Cricetulus griseus: one gene and its partners. The protein of the gene in region 6 interacts with the protein of the main gene of each other region in a biochemical or structural test. Links are inferred from orthologs where the notes say so. Each region holds a gene or a part of one and is shown on either strand. Other genes may lie near its edges. The genes, in order: microtubule-associated protein tau, Wee1, H1-5, protein NPAT, Mybl2, Cdk2 and Mcm3.

Evidence for each region.
Region 1: of the proteins of Cdk2 (region 6) and microtubule-associated protein tau, one has a biochemical effect on the other in vitro, tested with the Homo sapiens proteins (2 studies listed by BioGRID). The link is inferred for Cricetulus griseus from reciprocal best matches to the Homo sapiens genes CDK2 and MAPT.
Region 2: of the proteins of Cdk2 (region 6) and Wee1, one has a biochemical effect on the other in vitro, tested with the Homo sapiens proteins (3 studies listed by BioGRID, with this or other methods). The link is inferred for Cricetulus griseus from reciprocal best matches to the Homo sapiens genes CDK2 and WEE1.
Region 3: of the proteins of Cdk2 (region 6) and H1-5, one has a biochemical effect on the other in vitro, tested with the Homo sapiens proteins (15 studies listed by BioGRID). The link is inferred for Cricetulus griseus from reciprocal best matches to the Homo sapiens genes CDK2 and H1-5.
Region 4: of the proteins of Cdk2 (region 6) and protein NPAT, one has a biochemical effect on the other in vitro, tested with the Homo sapiens proteins (2 studies listed by BioGRID, with this or other methods). The link is inferred for Cricetulus griseus from reciprocal best matches to the Homo sapiens genes CDK2 and NPAT.
Region 5: of the proteins of Cdk2 (region 6) and Mybl2, one has a biochemical effect on the other in vitro, tested with the Homo sapiens proteins (3 studies listed by BioGRID). The link is inferred for Cricetulus griseus from reciprocal best matches to the Homo sapiens genes CDK2 and MYBL2.
Region 7: the proteins of Cdk2 (region 6) and Mcm3 form a complex in vitro, tested with the Homo sapiens proteins (2 studies listed by BioGRID and IntAct, with this or other methods). The link is inferred for Cricetulus griseus from reciprocal best matches to the Homo sapiens genes CDK2 and MCM3.

Annotation. Positions count from the first base shown.
Region 1 is NC_048600.1:117,328,253-117,331,752, forward strand, and holds part of microtubule-associated protein tau, read left to right. Parts: intron 1-3,224; coding exon 3,225-3,500. UniProt on the Homo sapiens protein: Promotes microtubule assembly and stability, and might be involved in the establishment and maintenance of neuronal polarity.
Region 2 is NC_048596.1:90,563,126-90,565,997, reverse strand, and holds part of Wee1 (wee1-like protein kinase), read left to right. Parts: intron 1-571; coding exon 572-657; intron 658-1,376; coding exon 1,377-1,547; intron 1,548-2,138; coding exon 2,139-2,284; intron 2,285-2,872. UniProt on the Homo sapiens protein: Acts as a negative regulator of entry into mitosis (G2 to M transition) by protecting the nucleus from cytoplasmically activated cyclin B1-complexed CDK1 before the onset of mitosis by mediating phosphorylation of CDK1 on 'Tyr-15'.
Region 3 is NC_048596.1:244,136,036-244,138,647, reverse strand, and holds H1-5 (histone H1.5), read left to right. Parts: upstream 1-1,310; 5' UTR 1,311-1,382; coding exon 1,383-2,051; 3' UTR 2,052-2,112; downstream 2,113-2,612. UniProt on the Homo sapiens protein: Histone H1 protein binds to linker DNA between nucleosomes forming the macromolecular structure known as the chromatin fiber. Histones H1 are necessary for the condensation of nucleosome chains into higher-order structured fibers.
Region 4 is NC_048597.1:165,283,363-165,286,862, forward strand, and holds part of protein NPAT, read left to right. Parts: coding exon 1-512; intron 513-3,500. UniProt on the Homo sapiens protein: Required for progression through the G1 and S phases of the cell cycle and for S phase entry. Activates transcription of the histone H2A, histone H2B, histone H3 and histone H4 genes in conjunction with MIZF.
Region 5 is NC_048599.1:16,439,242-16,442,741, forward strand, and holds part of Mybl2 (myb-related protein B), read right to left. Parts: intron 3,495-3,500; coding exon 3,381-3,494; intron 2,583-3,380; coding exon 2,481-2,582; intron 766-2,480; coding exon 616-765; intron 85-615; coding exon 1-84. UniProt on the Homo sapiens protein: Transcription factor involved in the regulation of cell survival, proliferation, and differentiation. Transactivates the expression of the CLU gene.
Region 6 is NW_023276806.1:129,199,410-129,203,472, forward strand, and holds the start of Cdk2 (cyclin-dependent kinase 2), read left to right. Parts: upstream 1-1,263; coding exon 1,264-1,379; intron 1,380-2,082; coding exon 2,083-2,160; intron 2,161-2,259; coding exon 2,260-2,380; intron 2,381-3,543; coding exon 3,544-3,714; intron 3,715-4,063. UniProt on the Homo sapiens protein: Serine/threonine-protein kinase involved in the control of the cell cycle; essential for meiosis, but dispensable for mitosis. Phosphorylates CABLES1, CTNNB1, CDK2AP2, ERCC6, NBN, USP37, p53/TP53, NPM1, CDK7, RB1, BRCA2, MYC, NPAT, EZH2.
Region 7 is NW_023276807.1:25,181,539-25,185,038, forward strand, and holds part of Mcm3 (DNA replication licensing factor MCM3), read left to right. Parts: intron 1-1,652; coding exon 1,653-1,793; intron 1,794-2,693; coding exon 2,694-2,797; intron 2,798-3,185; coding exon 3,186-3,262; intron 3,263-3,500. UniProt on the Homo sapiens protein: Acts as a component of the MCM2-7 complex (MCM complex) which is the replicative helicase essential for 'once per cell cycle' DNA replication initiation and elongation in eukaryotic cells.

The DNA of each region.
Region 1 (3,500 bases), on a different chromosome or scaffold from region 6:
ATAGCAGGGAGGCTTATAGATGACAGAGGAGCTGAGAGATGGTGTCCTTCATAAGTGATGGATGATTTGTCCTCTGTTTCGTGATGAAGGACTCTGTCACTGACCTCTTGTTAAAATTTTTGAAGAAAAAGAGGAGGGCACAAGATGAGACATATTAACCATTTTATTATAGGCCCGGCAGAGTAGAGAGACTAAGAGAGAAGAGAAACAGGGTAAATGGCTGACCACCATGGCTGGTCGACGGAGAGAGAGAGACAGAGACAGAGACAGAGACAGAGATAAAAAGAAGAGTAGAGAGTAGAGAGCGAGTATAGAGAGAGTGAAGCAGGGAAGTTGGAACTTTTAAAGGCAAGACTATGTATGCACACTGAGGTGCCACGCATGCCCAGAGTCCTCACACAGGCTGTAAATGCGTGGTGGGTGATGTGGTGATAGCAGGTCCCTGTGCATGCCCTGACTGTTGTCAGGGGTCGGGGTCTGTCTCTTAAAGAGGTAGAGCCAATCAGCATTAAAGCCTGAACCTTTCACCTCTAGCCTAGTTCATCCCCCTTTAGGTGACTTGGACACTAGATTCCTGAGGAGGAGCTGGGGGAAACATTTTGTCAGGACCCTGTTTACCTTGTGCCCTTTCACCACTCCCTGTGAGTCCGTGTTTTAAAAAGGTTGGTCGGTTGGTTTGAGATAAGGTCCATGTAGCCCAAGCTGGCCTCCATTTGTACCTAAGGGTGACCTTGAACTTTTGATCCTCCTACATCTACCTTCTGTGTGCTAAGGTTGCAGATATGAGCCTTTTATGCAGTGCTGGGGATCGAACTCAGGGCTTGCTGTGTGCCAGGCAAGCCCTCTAATACCTGCGCTGCATCCTTTGATAGTCACTGAGTAGTTTACAGTACCCTGGAAACTGAAAAGAGGATTCTTCCAGCCCAGATCCTCCCACTGGGAGTTTTGATTATGCCTGGGTTCCTCATCAGTTCACATACACAGCAAAGTATGCTTACTGTGTGTGCTTACTGTGTGTGCTTACTGTGTGTGCTTACTGTGCATGTTTAGGGGCTCGACTCAACTTGAAGTCTTTAAAGGTCTTGTGGTACATCAGACTCCAGGACATCCCATTCAAAAATAATTTCTAGGGAGCATTTTCTTGAAGGTAGTAGAGGCCCAAGTCTGTTGGGTGGTATCATGGCTGGTAGCTGTCTCGGCCTCTGGTCCATGAGCCGGCTGGTCCTGAGTAGCCACACCTTGCTGGTTTCCCACTTCTGTCTTTGTTGCTGTCCATCCTTGAGACAGACCAAGGCCTGAGTAAGACACCTGATGAGTAGCTGTTCTATGTAGAATGCATTTATTGATCAGTTGTCATGTGACAGCCTTGACACTGGGACCATAAATAAATGTAACTGTGAACTCAACCTGGCATAAGGAAGGAGAGGGCCAGGCTGGAGTTGGGTCCTGTGATAGTGATCCAGCCACACTGAGTCCCACTGGGTTAGAGACAGAGATTTAGTGTCCATATTACTTGTGTGTGTCAAAAGTTACACATGGGTGTGGATACACATGCTCTCCCCTCTCCTTCCTTCCCCTTATCCAAATTTCTCTCCTGTGTCCCCAAAGCCCTTGAGATTATAGGTTTTGTTAGAAAACCGGAGAGTTGCTTGAGATATTTTGTTGGGACCTAGTAGGATGTTCAAAAAAGCTCAGAGTCACATAAGTATGGTGGCACATGCCTGTAATCTGAACACTTGGAAGCAGAGATCAGAGAATCAGAGATTCCAGGTCATCCTTGGCCTCATAGTGAGTTTGACACCAGCCTCAGGTACAGGAGACCCTGTCCCAAACAAAGCATCAAACAGAGCCAGAGTGCTGATTGAGGACCCCAGTGAGACTCAAGGGGACACCCCCATCCCTAACACACAGCCAGATACTCTGAAGAGGGTTTTATGTGAATATCACTTGACTGATCCAGGAAAAGGTGCTTAGACCGGTTGAGCTGGTGGGCAGTGTGTTGGGTGAGCAGTTAGAACAAGGGTCTCCACGCTCCTGCCTCACCTGAGGCAAAAGGCAGGCCATGAAGGCTGACCACAGAGCTACAAATGTCTGCAGTTCCATGTAGAGGAACCCATACACAGGTCAGTTAGCAAAGCTCTGTGCTGACAATCATAGCTTGTGAATTTTCCAAATCAGAGCAGGGCTGGAGGCTGGGTAACTCATGATGCCTACTGCTTTCACCTGCCCAGGAGAGAGAGAGAGAGAGAGAGAGAGAGAGAGAGAGAGAGAGAGAGAGAGAGAGAGAGAGAGGGACCACTTCATGATCCAGCCAAGGCCACCTGGAGCCCAGAATCTTCTGGGAGCTTGGGTTCTGTGAATGGTAGGTGAGCATGCATCAGATCCCATAATCACATGTTGGGTAGCCACAGAGATGCCAGCAGGCTCTGGACCAGCTGAATACCAGAGGGGACTCAGAGGTCACCAAGGAAAGAACACAGATGCCCAGAGAGGGTCATGCAGCAAGCTAGTGGCAGACAGATTGAGAGAACTTTTTTTTTTTTTTGGTTTGGTTTTTCGAGACAGGGTTTCTCTGTGTAGCTTTGGAGCCTATCCTGGCACTCGCTCTGGAGACCAGGCTGGCCTCGAACTCACAGAGATCCGCCTGCCTCTGCCTCCCGAGTGCTGGGATTAAAGGCGTGTGCCACCAACGCCCGGCTTTGGTTTTTTCTTTCTTTCTTTTTTCTTTTTTTTTTTTTTTTTTTTTTTTTTTTGGTCAGACCGAGAGAACTTTTATTCCAAGCTATGAGCCAGGCCCGAGATGGGTCCTGGTCCCTGTTGGGAGAGTCCTGGTACCTTTGAGGGGTCTTTTCTTATGGCAAGTACGAACTGTGGTCCCCCTTAAACAGTGTCTGTACCCTTGTTAACCATTGCCTCTTCAAGCCCTGAGGCTGTGAGGGTTCCCAGGCAGTAGAGAGAGCTGCCTGAGAGGTTCCTGAGCCAGAAACTTAATGTTCAAGTCCACAGAGCACAGGCGTTTCTGGCGTCTCCCTGTCACCTCTAGGTGAAAAACAGTCAGGTACTCCAGGCTTGTCAGTCACTCACTGTCCCCAGGAGCACCCCACCTGCCCAGTCCCCTCCTCCACCAGCTAGACCTCAGAAGCCCGTCCAGGAGTGGAGACCAGAGCCTGTCAAGGTGGGCCTGCCCATTCTGAAGCCCTCTTCTGCTGGATATCTCCACACAGAGTCAGAGAAGGTCGAAATTTTCCCAGAAAGTTTGCTTGGAGAGCCAGGGCGCCATGAAGGCCAGGCTCCAGACTCAGGGATCTCAGATTGGATCTGCCAACCGGTGCCTAACGTGTCTGAGGCTCCCCTCCTGCCACAAGGCCTCAAAGAGGCCACGTGCCAACCTTCGGGGACGAGACCTGAAGATGTGGAGAGAAGCCATCAGGCCTCTGAGCTACTGCAGCAAGAGTCACCTCAGAAGGAGGGATGGGGCAAAGACAGGCTTGAGAGTGAGG
Region 2 (2,872 bases), on a different chromosome or scaffold from region 6:
TGTGCACTGCTTTGGATACCAGGGTAGCTGGCCTGTGAACTCCTGGAAGTTTCTTGTGTCTGCCTCCCATCTTGAGGGATTTCTGAGTTTGCAAACTTGTGCTCTTTTGTTGGCTTTTGCATGGGTTCTGGGGATCTGAACTCTGGTCCTTACTCTTGATAAAATCAAACACTTTTATCAATTGAGCCATCTCCATAATCCTCTTTTTGAGTGTTTGCCTTAATGTAAATATACCATGTATATGATTGGTGCCCAAAGAGGCTAGAAACATCCCCAGGGACTTAAGTAGCAAGTAGTTGTGAGCTACTATGTGCATGAACTTTGGTCCTCGGCAAGAGAAGCAAGCATCTCTCCAGCCCATGTTTATATATTTTGAGACAGGATTTCATGTATCTCAGGTATCCTTCCTTGAACTTGCTGTGTAGCCCAGACAGCTCAGGATTCTGCTGCCTCTACCCTGAGTCCTAGGATTACAGGCATGTGTTGCCTGTAGTTATAGATACCAAGCCAGGGCTTTGTGCATGTTAGGTGAGTACTCCACTGAGCTACTGTACTTTTCTAATACATCTAGGTGATCTTGGACATGTGACAAGAATCTCTAGTCCACAAGTTGAAGAAGGTGATAGTCGATTTCTAGCAAATGAAGTTTTACAAGAGGTAATTTATTTCTCCTTGATTTATAGTATTTGCTTTGTACCACTTAAGCAATTGACAGAAGACTGCATTCAAATATGTTGAAAATTAAGCAACTTAGTAGACTAAAAGTAGAAAATCTAAACCATCACCCAGGGATATTTAATCCGGCAAGGATTCTGATGGCATAGTAAGTTGTTCTTTACCCTGCGAATGGAGCTTCAAAGTTGCATGGCCTTTCTAGAGACCAGACTGTCACTATATTGATATTTAAAATTCACATTTCTATTGACCCAGGATTTTTAGCTCCAGAAGTTTTTCCTATACAAATGATCATGTATAGAGAACAATGTGAAAATGTTGTATTTACTAGGGAAATGAAAGGTAGATTATGACATAGGGTGTCACATAAAGTCTAATTATTTAGTCTCCTTGCTCTTCTCTCCATGCACATTGTCTGCATATGCATCCCCAAAGGCATGATACGTGCTTCTGAGCATGTCATTGGGCAACTGATAAAGCAGCATCTATTTTTAGATGTGTATTTAACCCCCTCTCTAAGTTTATTATTTGTAATTAAAAAAAAAAATAACCATCTTCCTAAATTTAGCAGCTTATTTTCTGAATGGATGCTTAAATGTGGCATTGGAAAGGTTTCTAATGTGAATTTACATAGACCATCATGGTGTGTTATATTTTATTTTGACCACTATCTTATTTTTTTCCTCTTTTAAATTTTACAGAACTATAGCCATCTCCCGAAAGCAGATATTTTTGCTCTTGCTCTCACAGTCATATGTGCTGCTGGTGCTGAACCTCTTCCCAGAAATGGAGACCAATGGCATGAAATCAGGCAGGGTCGATTACCTCGGATTCCACAAGTACTTTCCCAGGAGTTGACAGAGTTGCTAAAAGTGAGTGTTTTTTATGTGAAGCACTCTGTTAACACCTCAACATTTTACTAAGTAGTAGTCTTTTTTGTTTGGTTGGGTTTTTTTAGAGACAGGACCTATGTATCTCTAGCTGTCCTGGGAACTTTGTAGACCAGGCTAGCTTCAAACTCAAAATATCTGCCTGCCTCTACCTCCTGAGTGCTGGGACCTAAAGGCGTGCACAACACCTGGTCATAAGTAGTAGTTTTTTTTCTGATTTTTCAAGACTGGGTTTTTTCATTTCTCTGTGCAGCCCTGACTATCCTGCAATTCACGCTGTACACTAGACTAGACTTGAACTCTGCCTCTGCCTCCTGAGTGCTGGGATTAAAGGCATGTTCCTCCACCAGGCAGTAGTGGTGCATGCCTGTAATCCCATCAGTTAGGAGGCAGAATTAGACCCATCTCAGTGAGTTCAATGCCAGTCTGATCTACAAAAGCAACTTCCTGGACAACCAGGACTGCTACACAGAGAAACCGTGTCTTGGGTTGGAGAGGGTGGGGGAGTGGGGAAGGCATGTGCCTCCATGCCCAGTAGTAGTGTGTAACCACAATTTTGACTTTCTTTCTCAGGTTATGATTCATCCTGATCCAGAAAGAAGGCCTTCAGCAATGGTGCTGGTGAAGCATTCAGTGTTGCTGTCTGCATCTAGAAAGAGTGCAGAGCAGTTACGAATAGAATTGAATGCTGAAAAATTCAAAAATTCTCTTTTGCAGAAGTAAGGAGGTTTTTTTTTTTAATTTTTACTCTCATTTTCATTGATTCTCAAATTTTGAGAGATCATTTAGGGTTTTTGTCAAACTTTGTAATTATGTACTTTATGAGTATTAAGTGGGGTTGGGGTAGTGGTTCAGTTGGTAAGGTTTTCCCCCATAAACATGAGGGCCTGAAATTGTAAAAAGTTTATTACTAGCCCACTTGTGAAAATCTGGGCACATAGTTTTTGTTTTTGTTTTTGTTTTTGTTTTTGTTTTTGTTTTTGCAAAATAAGAACTCTTTATTTTAAATTAGTTATATAGCTATGAACTGAGTAATAGTATTAACTACCACCTTACATTTGAGCCAACAATACTCTTGTGTCTGTGATCTCAGCACTGGAGAGACAGAAACAGCTCTACTGAATCATCAAGTCCTAGATTTGAGCCCTAGAAAGCTGGATGTTGGTGGCTCACGCCTTTAATCCCAGCACTTGGGAGGCAGAGGCAGGCGGATCTCTGTGAGTTCGAGACCAGCCTGGTCTACAAGAGCTAGTTCCAGGATAGGCTCCAAAGCCACAGAGAAACCCTGTCTGGAAAAAACAAAAAAC
Region 3 (2,612 bases), on a different chromosome or scaffold from region 6:
AGCCTGTGTTACCTTTCACCATAGTAAGCTTCACCTTCTCTCCTAGAGCAAACTTCACCACCCCCTTTCTCTTTCCATTGCTTTATTTTTCTCAAATTCTTTGAAACTCTAATTGCCAGGCCCTTAATAATATTCTAAAATATTGCCCATCTTGGCATCTCAATATACAAAAAATACCCATATTGGCATTGACTACTTAAGAGCATGCCTGATTGTCCTGCTTGCTAAATGTTCTGAAATTCTCACTGGTCATCTCAACCAACTACATTTGAGGACTGGAGGGTCACTCTAATAATTTCCTGAAAGTTTTAAAATTTTCCTCACGCAAATTATCTTTAGTTAGTATTTTCTGTCTTCAGATACCATTAGCAACTAACAAAAGCAAGTCAGATCCATATCTAATTTATTTTGACTTAGAAGTAAATTGGTTTGCCTCTGAAGGTAGTGACTTCTTTTTAAATATTTGAGTTACTTTTTAAAGCTTTATGTGTATGAGGTTTTGTCTCCATGTGTATATGTGCACCACTTACTTGCCTGATAATCCGGAGAATTGAGAAGAAAGCCTGAGATACTCCGGGGCTGGAGTTACAGACAGTTGCAAGCTGCCCTGTGAGTGCTGGGAAACTAAAGCAGACCTGCAAGAGCAGTAGCTGCTCTTACCTGCCAATCCATTGCCACAACTCTTAAAGTCAATGATTTCTAAACTCCCGACTTCAAAGAAGAAAGTTTCACAATGGAAAAATTTTCAATCTCCATTAAAGATAGCAATGTGCAGAAAGTACGAGAAGCCGGACCTATTTTAAAGAGAAATATCTAAAATGTTTAATTTCAGTCTGCCGCCAGCCAAACCTGTGTTATTTGCTACAGTCAGAAACAAAGTTTGTGACCAAACCAAAAAAGATATTTCTTTTACTCTTGCAAAAATTAAAGGCGGGACTTGTGGACAAATCCTTTTAAGTAATGTTCCTTGCATACTTCGTATACGTTTATGGAAATATGCAAGTAACTATCAGGATGTCCTCTCCTTTGAGGATTCTTCTGAAACACTGGAGGGATTTAAAAAAAAATATCTTTAGTCTGTTGATTGTGATTCAAAAAAAGCACACATAGGTATGTGAACCCGAAGGCTGTTCTCCTTTGGAACACCAAACTGCCAATTTCTGCGCCCTTATTTTCAGTAGTAAGTAAAAATTTGGGGACTAACAAACACAATTTGGGATTCTAACCTTGTTTCGCGCGGCCAAAGGGCGGTGGATTGGACGCTCCACCAATCACAGCGCAGCTCTGGCTTATATAAGCCCGGAGTCGGAGCTAAGGAGCACAGCAAAATTTGCTCTTTGAGTTAGTTTTCCTTTGCTTTTATTGTAGCTTACAATCTCGCCATGTCTGAAACTGCTCCTGCCGAAACTGCTGCTCCGGCTCCTGTGGAGAAGTCTCCCGCAAAGAAGAAGGCGACCAAAAAGGCTGGCGCAACGAAGCGCAAGGCCACCGGTCCCCCGGTGTCCGAGCTCATCACCAAGGCTGTGTCTGCCTCTAAGGAGCGCAGTGGCGTGTCCCTGGCCGCGCTCAAGAAGGCTTTGGCTGCAGGTGGCTACGACGTGGAGAAGAACAACAGCCGCATCAAGCTGGGGCTCAAGAGCCTGGTGAGCAAGGGCACCCTGGTGCAGACCAAGGGCACCGGCGCCTCCGGCTCCTTCAAGCTCAACAAGAAGGCGGCTTCCGGCGAGGCCAAGCCCAAAGCCAAGAAGGCAGGCGCCGCCAAGGCTAAGAAGCCTTCAGGTTCCACCCCGAAAAAGCCTAAGAAGGCTGCGGGGGCCAAGAAGACCGTGAAGAAAACTCCAAAGAAAGCAAAGAAGCCTGCGGCCGCTGGAGTGAAGAAAGTGGCCAAGAGCCCTAAGAAGGCCAAGGCAGCTAAGCCTAAGAAGGCAGCCAAGAGCCCGGCAAAGCCCAAGGCTGTGAAGCCAAAGGCAGCCAAGCCTAAAGTTGCCAAGCCTAAGACAGCTAAGCCTAAAGCTGCTAAGGCGAAGAAGGCTGTTTCTAAAAAGAAGTAGGTTTGCTTCTAATAGCAACCAAGCCCCAAAGGCTCTTTTCAGAGCCACCCAGAGAGCTCGGTGAATGTAGCTGTACACTGACCTAACCCTCTAAGTCCCGCCAACTACCTGAACCATCTGGGTGCCACAGTGGAATTCAGGTAACACTAGCACGGAGTACTCCTGCCCTCACGTACTGCTGAGTAGTTGCCATGTCCACGCGGGCACCCGCCTTTTTCCTCACTGTGCGCGCTCCCCCCCCCCCCCCCGGCTAATCCTCCCACTCCCATCCCGGACTAGTAGGTCTTGTCCTTTGCGCGCGTCTATCTTTACCCTCTGTTCTGTGAACACATTGTTCGTCAGGAATGTAGCTCTCCAGAGTTCACTTAGACTGCAGTTAGCTTTTCATAACTGAAAAATCAACGCGCGGCGCGAAAAGAGGCCGAATTGATTGGCTGTACATAATCGTATTTCCTAACCCAGTTGCATCATGGTTTTGTACCAACCTTGCCTCGATTGGACAGCCAGTCGATGACGTTTGGAGAGTCACTCCACTCAATTGCCGCAACTCATTTACAGCTA
Region 4 (3,500 bases), on a different chromosome or scaffold from region 6:
CAGCAGCGCTGTATCTAGTATCGGTGGAGAAAACTTGCCAACGATAATTCTGTCTTCTAAATCTCCCGCCAAAAATGCAGAATTTGTTACATGCCTGTCTTCAGAAGAAACTGCGAGTGCTGTTGTATCTGTTGAAGTAGGGGATTCTGGCTCAATGGAGCAGAACCTTTTAGTACTCAAACCTGAGGAACCAGTAGTAAACAACCCTCAGAATGAAGATAGCATTGCATTTTCAGCCAGTGTTGCACCATGTGTTCCTAAGGATGGAGGATACATACAGTTGATGCCTGCCACAAGCACAGCCTTTGGCAATTCAAGTAACATTTTGATAGCTACCTGTGTGACTGATCCAACAACCTTGGGACCAACTGTCAGTCAATCTAATGTAGTGGTATTGCCTGGGAATTCTGCACCTATGACTGCACAGCCTCCTCCACAGCAATTACAGACACCACCAAAGTCTAACAGTGTATTTACTGTCAACCAAGCTGTGTCGCCAAACTTTTCACAAGGTAACTCTAAGAGCATATTGGAGGTGAGCTGGGGATATAGTTCATTGGAAAAGCACTTGTATAACATGTACAAGGCTGTGGACTCTATCTCCACCACTGAATGAAAAGAGATGCATGTATGTATGTGTGTATAATTTATATGTGTGTGTGCACACATATTTTGGAGCTTCTCTGGATTGCAATCTTAATTTTCTTGTGTGAAGTCACTGACTAGGTAATAATATAGATAGTTCCTATGACAAAATACTATACAAATAATTGCTTATGCATCTTTCTTGCTATCCAGTTCAGCCAGATTTTGTTTAAATCTGGTAGGCTGTAGCTTTATTTTTTTTTTTCTTTGCGAGTTTTTAATGTACAACACTAAGCTGTAAAAAAGAAAAAGCCTAATTCATTGCATACCTATATATATGCTTCAACTCGATCTAGCAGGGTATTTCTTTATTTTTACTTTAATCATGGTTCTTTTGCAGGATGGAGTTCAAGACAGGGTTTCTCTGTGTAGCCCTGGCTGTCCTGGAACTTTCTGTATAGATCAGGCTGGCCTCAAACTCAGAGATCCACTTGTTTGTCTCTGTCTCCCCAAGTACTGGGATTAAAGGCATGTGCTGCCACCTCCTGGCTCTAGTTTAGAGAGACTTTCAAGAAAACTTAAATTCTATAAAACCCATTCTAATTACTCATGTTCTGGTGCTATTTAGAAATGATTCAAGTTGGGGCTGGAGAGAGAGCTCAGTGGTTAAGAGCACTGGCTGCTCTTCTAGGGGACCAGGGTTCAGTTCCCAGCATCCACATGGCAGCTCACAGCTGTCCATAACTCCAGTTCCAGAGGATCTGACACCTTCACACCAATGCACATGAATAAAATTAAATAAATTTTTAAAAAGAGAGAAAAATAATTCAAGTCTTTAGAGACTTCCCCAAGGGCTCTTGTCTTCATTGTATGTTGCTTTACATACAGTTAACAATCGGCAAAATTATCATAGCAATCAAAGAATTCACACATATTCACCTACATTCCCATTGTACTGATATATAGACAATGAAATCTGATGAAATATTATCAACTAAGCATTAAATTTGGTGAATCTATTTCAAATGATGGAAAGGCCAGAATTGCTGAAGAATATGAAGCTTGCATTAAAACCTAGAGAAAAGAGGTAAGATTTGAAGCCAAGGGAAGTAGAATAAGTATTCCTGGATACTTGGCAGGTTTATGTGAAAATAAGATCTTACAGGGATAGTTAGCCTTTTAGGTAAAGGTGCATTTACTACCAGGACTAAGTTACTATAGCTTTTCTTGTGGTTGACTCCTAAGGACCATGTGGTCACTCTAATTTTCCCTAGGTAGATTAATCTGGTTACAAAAGTATGTTCTTTTTGCCCAGTACCATTAAGATATAATACATTGAGTAAATGGTTAAGGGCTATAAGTACTCTCTTGGAATCCAAGTTTTCTTCTATAAGTTCAAACAGAACAGTCACTACTCAGTTCCTAATTAGTTTCAGTCTTTGTTAGAATAATCAGTGTGTAATAGGATCTTCTAGCCAGAGAGTCTTGAGCTTAGGATAATATCACTAAATGCCCTACATCTTAATATTTAGATTTGCTTTGTTTTGAATTCTTAACTTTTATTACTATACTTGATCAAAAAAAAAATTGGGGGGGGGTGGAGATTTTCGAGGCAGGGTTTCTCTGTGTAGAACCCCTTTGGAGCCTGTCCTGGAACTAGCTCTTGTGGTTACTATTTTTGTGATGAAAACACCATTACCAAAAGCAACTTTGGTGGGGTAAAGGGTTTATTTCACTTACAGTTCCATATAGTAGTTCATCATCAAAAGCAATGAGGGCTGAAACTCAAGGCAGGGACCTGGCGTCAGGAATTGATGCAGAGGACATAGAGGGGTGTTGCTTACTAGTGACCCCCACCCTGGCTTGCTTATCTTGACTTGCTCAGTCTGCTCAGGAATGGCACCACCCACAATGGGTTGGACCGTCCCACATCAGTTACTAACAAAATGCCTACAGGCTTGCCAATCTTAAAGAGGCAGTTTCTCAATTGAGGTTCTGTCCTTTCAGATAACTAGCTTGTGTCAAGTTGACATACAACTAGTCCGCACAATAGACCCATTATCACCTTGACACACAAACACATCACTGTTAAGCCATAACCTTTCTTTTCTTATACTTCCCAAAGATCACACATCAACATTACAATATAATCATTCCAAAATTTTAAAGTCCCATAGTCTTTAAAAATAGATTCTCTTAGGGTCGGAGAAATGGCTCAGTGGTTAAGAACACTAGCTGTTCTACCAGAGGGACCCAGGTTCAATTCCCAGCACCCACATGGCAACTCCCAACTGTCTGTAACTCCAGTTCTAGGGGCTATGACACCCTCGTGAATATATATACAGGCAAAACACCAATACACATAAGTTTTTTAAAAAATAATAATAATTCATTCTCTTTAAAATAGGCAATCTTTTAAAATCTGGACTTTTAAAATTCAGTGTTTGAATTGTATGCTCCTATCAAATCAAAAAATAGTTACTTCAGGAGGGAAGAACCAGGGCGTAGTCATAATCTGAACAAAGCAAAACCAAACTTACAATATTAATCATTCAATGTCCAGTGTCGGAGATTCACTCACAATCTTCTGGGCTCCTCCAAAGTGACCCAAAAGGCTTAGGTCTCTTCTCAGGCTCTGCCCTCTGCAGCACACGTAGCTTGTCTTCTAGACTATGGCTGGCTCCACTCCACCACTGCTGCTATTCTGAGTGGTCATCCTATATTGTTGGCATCTCCAAAACTGCTGGGGTCCCTTGCTGCAACTGAGCTGCACTTTCAATGATAGCCTCTCCTGGGCTTCTTCAGGGACTCCAGTCTTGCCATACAGTGCCAAGCCTCGGTTGCTCTCCATGACCCCTTCATGCCTTCAAAACCAGTACCAGCTGGGTGACTCTTAGACTACCAACATTGGCAAC
Region 5 (3,500 bases), on a different chromosome or scaffold from region 6:
GCCCAGGAGCTGCCGGGCTTTCTCTTGCATGAAGAGCTGGTCTTTGGTGCCCCCACAGGCCACCATCTTCCAGGCGCTGGTCATCTGGGAGGAGATGAGAGTCAGCTCAGTAACAAACCCTGGTGGTGGGTCCTGGCTAGTAAGGGTGGGACATTTCTAGGACCCTCCCTCTGGATACTGGAAGCCAGTTTGTGCTCCCTCCATTTTCTTTGGAGATTTTGGGGAAGTCATGCCTCCTCATTTGTGGGCTTAACAGTAAAGCAGGAAGTTGAGACAAGAAAAAGTGTGCAGCACCTGATGGCCTCATGGGAAGCCACAGCTGAGCGGCTGAGGACACTGTGATACAAGGGACCGGACTAACTGCTGTCAGCAACAGACAGAGCACTCAGCAAACCAAATACAGGTAATGACCTAGTGAGGGGTTAAAAGCCCAGCCCTCAGGAAGGAAGAAATGGGGGCATCTCTTTAGGTGAAGTCAGCAATTGCTTCCTGTAGGAAGTAGCACTTGGGCTAAGATCCTAGAAGTTAATCAGGCAGTCACAGCCACAGGAATACATCAGAATAGTGTAGCCCTGGGGTGAAAGGACAGCAGGACCCGTTCATAGCAAGACTCACAGGGGCAGGGGCTGGAATGTGGCCCCGAGACTTCTGGGTGGCCACCACCTTCTCAGGCTTGGCCTGCAGGAACCCCTGGTTGAGCAGGCTGTTATCCTCTTTGCTGCCTGGCAGGGTGAAGCTAGAGGAGCTGGATGGGACACTTGTTGGCTGAAATCAAAACCAAGTTAGTCACTACTTTGCCACAAGATCTTTGCCAGGAGAAAACAAAACAAAACACAAACACAGCCTGGTATCCTGGCACTGCCCCCGCCCCCCTTCACCCCATCCCTTCTGATGAGATCTGGAGCAGGATATTTGCCCTCTAAGCCTCAGTTCCCTTTCAGATATGGAGTTTAGACACGAACCCTTAATCCTTTTACTTATAGGATTAAAGGAATTATCTGTGAACTGATCGTTTCAGAGCCCAGCAATGCCAGCTCCTGTCACGTGAGGCCACACATGCTCCAGGCTTCCTGGTCCTGAAACACTCAAAAGCATCAAGTGAAATGTGCCATGGGCCCATAAAGCTCTGCTCATTGGCTTGCCTTCATAATGTTCCACTTGGAGCTAGGGGGCCAAGAAGCCAAGTTCACAGGCTAATTCTTTCCCACACCCATCTCCACAGCACAGCTCATCTCCACAGGCCTCACTTCACTCAGAGTGGGTGAGGTCCTGGGCTCAACCCCCAACACTGCTTAAAACAGAACAAAATACGTCGTGCCTCAAGTAGAGGCAGCCAAAGGTCTGATTGAAGGGAGCAAGTCCCCCACCTGACAGGGTTCCCTGGGGAAAAAAAGCTTTTCTAGAAGGACAACAGCCCTACCCATAAGATCTGTTTAGCAATTCATGTCCTCATCCATGCTCCCACCCGCTCCTCACTCACTCACTGCCTCTCTACTGGTGCCAGGTGTCAGGTCCAAAAGAAATTCCAATTCCCCAAACTCCAAAAGATGAGCTCAACCTAGACTATAGGAGGATTTCTGGCAGTTAGATAAAAGCCAGCATTCCTCAGGAACTTGTGGAGCTGGTTCCTCTCTACCAAAAGGAGTCATTTCCCTTACCTCAGGCAGAAGAGCTATGGCTACCCATGGTGCCTATCAGTCTATCAAAGCTTATTTATGCTGGTCTCCAGGCTCCTTCAGTATCTCAAGTACCTGCTACTTTTCAAAGCCCTTTTCACTTCCTCCTTTACCCCAGAATCCCAGTTCCCTCCTGGCAGCTATTCATTGTCCTTAGAATCCTGTTATTCTCTATGTTTTTCTAATCTCTATGCCCTGCTATCCTCCCCTCTCTCACAGATAGTCCTGGTCATGTCTAGTCTGCTGTCCATATTCAGTCTATACTGTTTCCCTCTCTCTCATATCCACAATAAAAAACCTCCCCCTTAACCATACAATGGAACTGCCATACCACCAGTTTATACACCAGGTCAAGCCAGGCCATTTCCCAGTAGCACAGGTGTGTTACTGCAAGGAGCCAGTAACACACCTGTGCTCTTAAAGGCAATGACTTCTATGCCCAGAAGAGCAAGGCTGGCCTGTAGGCCAGACAATAGCTGCTCAGGGTTGATGTGCCTCAAACACCCCGCTGTGCTTAGGGCAAATGTGGTTGACACTCAGTGGGAAGGGTGGTGCTTGGGGCCCATAGCATTCTAGCAATGTGTCTCCTGCCAAATCAAACCTAGGAAAGACACATCAGAACTCTCAGTGAGGCTCAGGCTGGGTGCCCAGACCTGCCACTTCCTGACATTCTTCCCAACACTGGGGCCAATTGGAGAACCAGAAACCCACCCCATCTAAAGGGTCCTCTCCATGATCAGACAGCTCCAAAGGCAGAAGGTTCCTAAAGACCTGTGAGGCAGGTGGTCACTGTCAGCCCCTTACCAAGGACAGAGCTTTGGGCAGTGAGGACATCAGCTTCCCATCTTCATCCACAATGTCAAGAGCCAGAGACTTTCGGACTTTCTTAACAGGGCTTCGCCGCAGCTGAGGGTTAGGGAAGAAAAGGATGGTTAATGTGGGCAATCGGGTTCCCCATGGCCAATGCCTCAGTGACCACAGTCACTGAATCAGGACTTTCGAGAGTAGAATCTTCAAGGTATAGCCAGTAGCTCTTACTCCAGGGATATGGGAAGACCAGGAGACCTTGGCCACATTACACTCTGACCCAGGTGGTCAATACCCTGCCAGACACTGTGGGTCCATCCCAGCCTCACTGCCCAGCTTTGACTATCAACACTCCCTAGGGAGAGCAGTCTAGGGGGAAAAGCACAAATGGAAGGAGAGATATGAAGTGCCACCTGTGGCTACAAGAGCTAGATAGTGCAACAGGAAGGAAGCAGACCATCAGCCTGGCATCTCACCAGGTGGCCCTGTGAAACCCCCCACACCCTACTTTCATGACCAAGGCACCGCTCTCTTCCTAGCTCACTCTAGACTACCGTCTGAAAGGAACACCGTGTCCCCCTATACTCCCTCATCCCACAGGAATTCCCATGGCCACGAGGTGTGTGCTGCATGCCTGTCTCCATCCACTGAGCTCTGGGAGTCTCCCTGACCACTTCACACCCATCACCCCCGCCTAAGCCACTTCGGAAGGTCCATTCACAATGTTGGACGAGAGAGTGCATCATTTTAAGCAGAGGAGGACGGACAGGTTAAGAAGCCAGGGCCCTCTGAAAGGCTCACCCCCGTAAGGCACTCCACAGGTCCTCCCTGACCTCAGGGCTGACTTTCTTTCTATGCCAACTACCTAGGCAGAGGGAGAGTCCTCAAACCACTCACCCCAGGCTTTCGCTTCTGCTTCTCAGGCCTCACATCATCCTCAACAATGAGCTCAATGCCAGCCTCAGAACGTAGCACTTCCTTCAAGTCCTCTTCCAGGTGTGGAGTCTGGGGCTGTGG
Region 6 (4,063 bases):
ACCAGAACTGATTTCAGGGTCTGGACGTTCCTTTTCTCAGCCCACCGCTCAATGACAGCTTCCGGCTTCACTGGGGTCACATTCACCCTGACACACACTTTCATTCTGAAAAGAGTTGACTGATGGGCAGCCACAACTCACGTACTGTACTTCACAGCCATTTCAGCAAGAGAGGGAAGCCATGAATTGAGTCAAAGCAAGCAACCCTCAAGACAGATACAAACACCTTTATCTAAAAGCTGTCCGAAGAGGCAGAGTGTACATTCCCAGCAATGAAGCAACAAAACCAACCAATGAACCACTAAAACAGTGAGACAGGATTAAGCTAGGCTGAGAAAGGACTTTGTTATCTAGCCTAAGAATCCTTTACAGTAAGAGCCCTGATCTTGTGCCTCTTACGATAGTACACGGAGGAAGTGCCAGACGATCTCTGCGAGTTCGAAGTCAACCTCAATTTTTATTTTATTTTTAACGCATTGCAGCCGGCCAGGCTGCAATATGAGATACTGTCTCAAAAAGGGGGTGGGAGTGCTGGAGAGACCGCTCAGGAGTTAAGAGCCTATGTAGCTCTTGCAGAAGATCAGAGCTGGGCTTCAGCGTCAGCTCACAACTGCCTATAACTTCAGCTCCAGACGATCTGCTGCTTCTGTGAAAAAAACACACACAGACACACACATAACTGATATATATATATATATATATATATATATATATTATATATATATATATATGATATGTATATATATATGATTTCCCAGGTTTCTGCTTTCCAAAGGAGGCTCTCCTGGCCAGCTAGAATTTAATTTCACTTAAGGGATGGTGAAAATTGTGAGCGGAAAGTAAGGAAACCCTTAGACCACAGACAACACCAGTTCCGGCCGCCGGAGCCCAAACCAGGAACTGCGGGAAAGTTGCGCTGCGGCCACTCGGCTCACCCGCCCAGGGCGGGGACTCGGCGGCGGGAGCGCGGAGCCCGGCCCGCCCTCGTGACGTTGACCAATCCCAAGGGTGGGAGGCGGAGCCAGGGAAACGCGGGAAGGAGGGGCGGGGCCTCGGCTGGCCGTCTGGAGCGGTGGGGGAGGCGGCAACATTGTTTCAAGTTGGATAAATTGTCAAGGGCTGAGCTTTGCTTGCGTTCCATCCAGAGCTGGGGCTGCGGTGCTCACCTTGGCCCCCAGGTCCTCCGCCCCGAGTGTTGGGCCCGCTTTCTTCAGGGTTCCCGGGCCCCGCTCCCGGGGGCCTGAGCCGCCGCACTAGTGCTCCATGGAGAACTTCCAAAAGGTGGAGAAGATCGGAGAGGGCACGTACGGAGTGGTGTACAAAGCCAAAAACAAGTTGACGGGAGAAGTGGTGGCGCTTAAGAAAATCCGGCTCGACACGTGAGTGGCCTCCGGAGCCGGAACTCCTTCCCCGGGACCTCTTGGCTGCCCCCCCCCAACCCCCTACCCCAACAGGCGGGTAGCCGTCCCGGACCGGACCGGAAGGTAGCGGGAGGGACTCCTGAAGTGAGGGGTGGGTTGGCGGACGGTAGACGCTCTCTCTCGGTGACTGTCCGAGGGCTAGAATTCAGAGAAAACTTTCTTCTCGTGCTCCACCCGGTGAGCTCCCAAATCTGCAAGCCGGGAGACTTGGGAAGAGAAAGTGGGGGGGATGGGGGGGGTGAGGTAGGGTCCAGGAGTGTTCATAGAGTTGGGTTATGTACGAACCAGGAGAATAATTCCTTTCTGAATGGAGAGCTGTCCCCCCTGCTCCAGCCCCATACTTAGAACCCTCACCCTCTTTCAAAAGAATGGCAGTTGAGACTCACTGGCCCTCTGGGGAGGCTGGGAGCTACTCTCACCCCCCTCCCCTATTACCTTTCCTCTGCTTCTCATTCACCTGGAGGCTCTACTTACCTTCCACTGGAAAAAGAGGAAATAATGACCTTGAATATGTCTAAAAGCCACACCCCAATTACCCAGGAATAACTACTGACAGTACCTTTCCTTTCTGACTTCCTAAGGGAGTTTTGGGGGGTGGTGTCTCCCTAAGAGAGTATGTTTGTAACCATATTCTCATCTGTGTTTTTCCAACCTCTCCAAGTGAAACTGAAGGTGTGCCCAGTACTGCCATCCGAGAGATCTCTCTGCTTAAGGAACTTAATCACCCTAATATTGTCAAGTAAGTGTAGTCTGAGAGATGACCACCAAGGTGAATTCTGTTTGTTTTAGCCTTAGAATTTCTCTCCCTCAACTGCATTTCCTGAACCTTCTCTTGCAGGCTGCTAGATGTCATCCACACGGAAAATAAGCTTTACTTGGTTTTTGAATTTCTGCACCAGGACCTCAAGAAATTTATGGATGCCTCTGCTGTCACTGGCATTCCTCTTCCCCTCATCAAGGTAACCTTCCTCAATTCCAGCTCAGGTATCTTGGGGAAATTAGAGGCAGGTAATTCAGACTGGTTATATTTTGGCTTGTTTCTCAGGCTTCAACACTCCCCGACCCCTTTTATTTGTGTCTGTTGGTCTCTTCCTGTTCATTATAGTCATTAGCCATAGGAAGGACCGAAGAATCATAACCAAGGTCCTGCGAGCCACCTAGACAGCTCAGGCAGATCAGATACCACTCAGAAAATGGGATTGAGGGTAGTTGGTGGGTTCCTCAAAAAAAAAAAAAAGTTCCACCTGTGATGTGGGAGACAACCAGAACTGTATTCACTCCTGGAGTTAATGAATATCAGCAGTTACATATTTGACACAGTTATTTAACACAGGCATGTGCTAGGCACAGGGTATTGAAAGGGATGCAAAAATTAAGTAATATCTGGTCTTTATCCTTGACAGGCTGAAAAATACAATGAAAGAAGTAGCTATTAAATGTGTGGTTGTGTTGTAAGGTGTGTTGGCTCATGATTGTAATCCTAACACTCAGGAGGCTGAGGCAGGAGGATGTCTGTAAGTACAAGGACACCCTGGCCGGGCGTTGGCGGCGCCTTTAATCCCAGCACTCAGGAGGCAGAGGCAGGTGGATCTCTGTGAGTTTGAGACCAGCCTGGTCTAAAAGAGCTAGTTCCAAGACAGCCTCCAAAGCCACAGAGAAACCCTGTCTTGAAAAACCAAAAAAAAAAAAAAAAAAAAAAAAAAGACAGCCTAGGCTACACTTGTAAGCCTATCCTACAGTTCCAGGCCAGGAAGGCACTATCATAAAAAACAAACAGGGCTGACAAGATAGCCCAGCAGGTAAAGGCACCTGCCTCCAAATCTGATGACCTGATGACCTGAACTCCATCCCCAGGTCCCACATAGTACAAGAAAACCAATTCCTGCAAGTTGTCCTGATTTCCTCGTTTGCACAGTGCCATGCCCCCCCATAAATAAGTAATAAGTAAATAAATAAATAAATAAATAAATATGCAATCTAAAGAATTAAACAAAATCCCCCAAAAATACGTAATGGAGTTATCATCTCACATGATTAAGGCTTTACTGCATTTTGAGGGCAAAGAGCAAGTTGTATCTGTTAACGGTGGTGACTGAACAAACCTTCCTCTCTCCTTTGTCAGAGCTATTTGTTCCAGCTGCTCCAGGGCCTAGCATTCTGCCATTCTCACCGGGTCCTGCACCGAGACCTTAAGCCCCAGAATCTGCTTATCAATGCAGAGGGGTCCATCAAGTTGGCAGACTTTGGACTAGCAAGAGCCTTTGGAGTCCCTGTTCGTACTTATACTCATGAGGTAGGTCCCCCTATGATTTTTCTTCTTTAAGAATCTTAGGGAGATGTTCATACCAGGGCAGGAGTTCCTTGGTAAATAGAATCTCTGACAACCCAAGGGTCTTTTTTTTTTTTTTTTTTTGGTTTTTTGAGACAGGGTTTCTCTGTGTAGCTTTGGAGCCTATCCTGACACTTGCTCTGGAGACCAGGCTGGCCTCGAACTCACAGAGATCCGCCTGCCTCTGCCTCCCAAGTGCTGGGATTAAAGGCGTGGCCACAAACACCCGGCTCAACCCAAGGGTCTTTACCTATTTATTTAAAGTGTCTGAGTAAAGTGCATGTATGTCTGTATTGCATGCCTGCCTGGTGCT
Region 7 (3,500 bases), on a different chromosome or scaffold from region 6:
CTTGAATTAGAACGTCTCATCTCCCAGCCCATGGTATTCTACATTAGTGCCTTCAAGCACTTGGAGATTTTCTTACCAAGATTGGTGTGGGTAGAAATTGCAGAAGCAAACTGCATACGGCACTGAAAAGTCTGTAATGGGAGACAAAGTACTAGAGAGTGATCCCTGTGCCTGCTCAGAGCTCTGCAGGTGGTCTGCAGCCTGGCATCGCATACAGCCTTCTACTGCCTAGGCCAGTCTCTTTACCCATATGGGAAGGCTGGGTAATGACAGGACCCATCTGAAGTCCCTGAAACTTAAAGCACGCACAGTGTGATTGATCAGGCCAATGGTCCTGTTCACATCGTAGCAGCTAGAAAAGACAATGGTTTTATTTTACTTACCACCCCTACAGTGAGCTAGCTACATACATGGTAGGGGTATGTCAGGCTCCTCCTTCTGTAAGTACACGACTCACAGAAACCTGTGCTCAGAGCTCCGCTTTGACAGATTCGGTTTTTGGTTCCCACGTCCTCATCTGTAAAGTACTTAGTTAAGAGGAGTGACAGAATGAGAACAGCTCCCCGTGCATTGTGGGCCTGCAGTGAGGAAGGATGGCTAATTTCCTCTTTCCTCTAACCTTCCTCTCTTCCTGAATACTCTCACTTGGTTGCTTTGGCCATTTTTCTTTGCTTTCTTCCTTTTTTTTTTTTTTTTTTTTTTTTTTTTTTTTTGGTTTTTGGAGACAGGGTTTCTCTGGAGCCTATCCTGGCACTCGCTCTGGAGACCAGGCTGGCCTCGAACTCACAGAGATCTGCCTGACTCTGCCTCCAGAGTGCTGGAATTCAAGGCGTGCGCCACCAATGCCCAGCTTGGCCATTTTTCTTAACTTTCTGAATTTTAAAAGGTAATTTCGTTTTTGACAGTTTCATGCATGTATAATGTGTTCTAATTACCCCTTATCTTACACCCTTATTTACCATCTTCTCTGCCTACCAGTGTCTAATGACTTTTGCTTTCCATTTAGTTTAACCAGGATTATCTGTGTGATTCTTACTATCCATCGGTACTTGGTGGGGTCACCAGTGGATAGCCATGAAAACAATGGTTCCCCCACTCCTTGAATCTACTGGTGACAAACAGTTCAGCAGTGAGTAGGGCCTCTCAAGTCCCTACCCATCTATGCCTTGCTTGCTGTCTGTCAATGGCCTAGTCTTGTGAAGACTAAGTCCAGGCATCCCCACATCGGCAGCTGATGTGAGTTTGTGGTCGCCTTGTGTCATGTCCTAAAGCCGGCATTTCACAGCTCTTCTGCCTGTGTTCCGATTCTTTTATTCTTTTTATTCTCTCCCCTTGTTCCATGCACCTGAAGAGATGATATAAGTGCCGTGTTTGGGATTGAGCACTTAACCGCCACATATTCTCAGCACCTTGGGTGGCCGTGAATCTTGGTTTTCTCTATTGCTCAATGGAGAGAGAAACTGATTTGACTGAGGGTGATGTTTGATGGGTACTGGTGACTATCTGAACTTTAAATGGCGCCCACTTGTCAAGAAGACACACACACCTTGGGCTTCCTGAACATTTCTGGTAATGCTTTAATTCTTTTCCTATTCAAAGAGACTGCTACATTTCCTTAGAAGTAATAAATTCCCTCATGCTTTCTTCCCTAGACATCTCCAGTTACAGCACGGACATTGGAAACTCTGATTCGACTGGCCACAGCCCATGCGAAGGCCCGTATGAGCAAGACTGTGGAACTACAGGATGCGGAGGAAGCCGTGGAGCTGGTTCAGTATGCTTACTTCAAGAAGGTGAGCCTTTAGGGAGTCCCTCAGAGGAGGCAGAAAGTAGAAGAGCCAGAGGGAATGGAGGACACCAGGAGAACAGGGGCCTCTAAATCAGCTGTGCATATGAACTCAGAGACTGCCTGAAAGCGGCAAGCACAGGGCCTACAAGGGTCTACACGAGGGTCTCTGCAGATATATTATCACTTTCAGTTTAGTATTTTTATGGGACTCCGAGTGTGTGAATGAGTAGTGGGTCTCTGATTTTAGTGCCTTTTCTTGGCCTCTTTTCCTTCTGTTGGTTTGCCTTGTCCAACTTGAATGTGATGGTCTTTGTTTTCTCTTATATCTTTATCATGTTTTGTTGTTATCTCTTAGAAGCCTGCTCTTTTCTAGTGAGAGACAGGAGGAGGGCAGGTGGATACGGGTGGGGGGGGGGTGGAGAGGAACTGGGAAGAGTAGAGAAAGGGGAACTAATCAGGACATATTGTGTGAGAAGAGATTTTATTTTTAATAAAGGGAGAGAAAATAAGAAAATGAGTCTTGTGTCTGTTGCCTGCTGCTCATCTGAAGAACTGTAGGCCTTGAAGGTTTAGAGTTATGGTTCTGCCATGCTTTTCCTGTTTATTTCTCTTTACAAAGTTGGAAGCGGTGTTAAATTTCAACTAAATACCTGGTCTATAAAGAAATGATTGTTCTCCCCTTAACCATATGGTTTGGACACCTCAAACATGTCTCTTTACTCAGTAAACATAGAGTATCTACTGTGTGAAAGGCCTCCAGCATTGGTGAGAGATGGCTATTAGACTTTCCCTGCCTCTGGTCCTGGGACGTAGACCCGAGAGGATAGAGATAAGTCTCAGACACTTGGAAATCAGGTTGCTTACTCAGTTTTGGCACCAGTGACATCCCTTGGCTTGTTTCTAGGTTCTGGAGAAGGAGAAGAAACGTAAGAAGCCAAGTGAGGATGAATCAGACTTGGAAGATGAAGAGGAGAAGAGCCAGGAAGACCCCGAGCAGAAGCGGAAGAGGTAGAGTGGGACATGGCTCTGTGGGGGGCGGGGTTACAGCTTGCTGGCACCAGTATCCTCCGGGCCCTGTAGGGTTTACAGATGATGGTAGTCAGGCACAGGAGAGGAGGGGAGAGCCTCTGTGACGTTCAATATGGTTTCCTATAAGGGATGCGGAATAGCAGAAGTGATGCCATCATTAGGTCTTCAAATGTTCTTGAGGCCGCTTTTCCCCTCCTACCTAATCATTTGTTAGAGCACTGGGCAGTGGGGTCTGGAGAATGTCTTACAGAAAATTTAGTGGTTTGTTCAGGCCTATGCCTGGTGTTGCAGTTTGCTTGTACATTGTTACATGTGCATGTGGCTCCCTGAAGCCTTCTCAGTTTCTTGGCTGCTATGGTTATTTCAGGAGGAAGACTGATGCCACGGATGGGGAGTCCTTTGACCCTTATAACTTCAGTGAAGCAGAGAAGGAAACGCCACAAGGTGAGTGAGCAATTCCTCGTGACCCGTCCAGCTGCAGTGTGTGCGGCCGTTCCTCAGGAGCTCCCACTGACTTCACGGGAGACCCTGTGACCAGGACCCGTGTCTCAGAGCCTTGGGACGCCACAGTGCAAACTTAGGAAAAAAGCTTGTCTCAGCCCTTGGCTTCCTCCTTTATTCTCTACGAACTTTCGTCATGCCTGCTGTGAGCATCGCAGAGATTGCACTGAGGGTCTCCTGC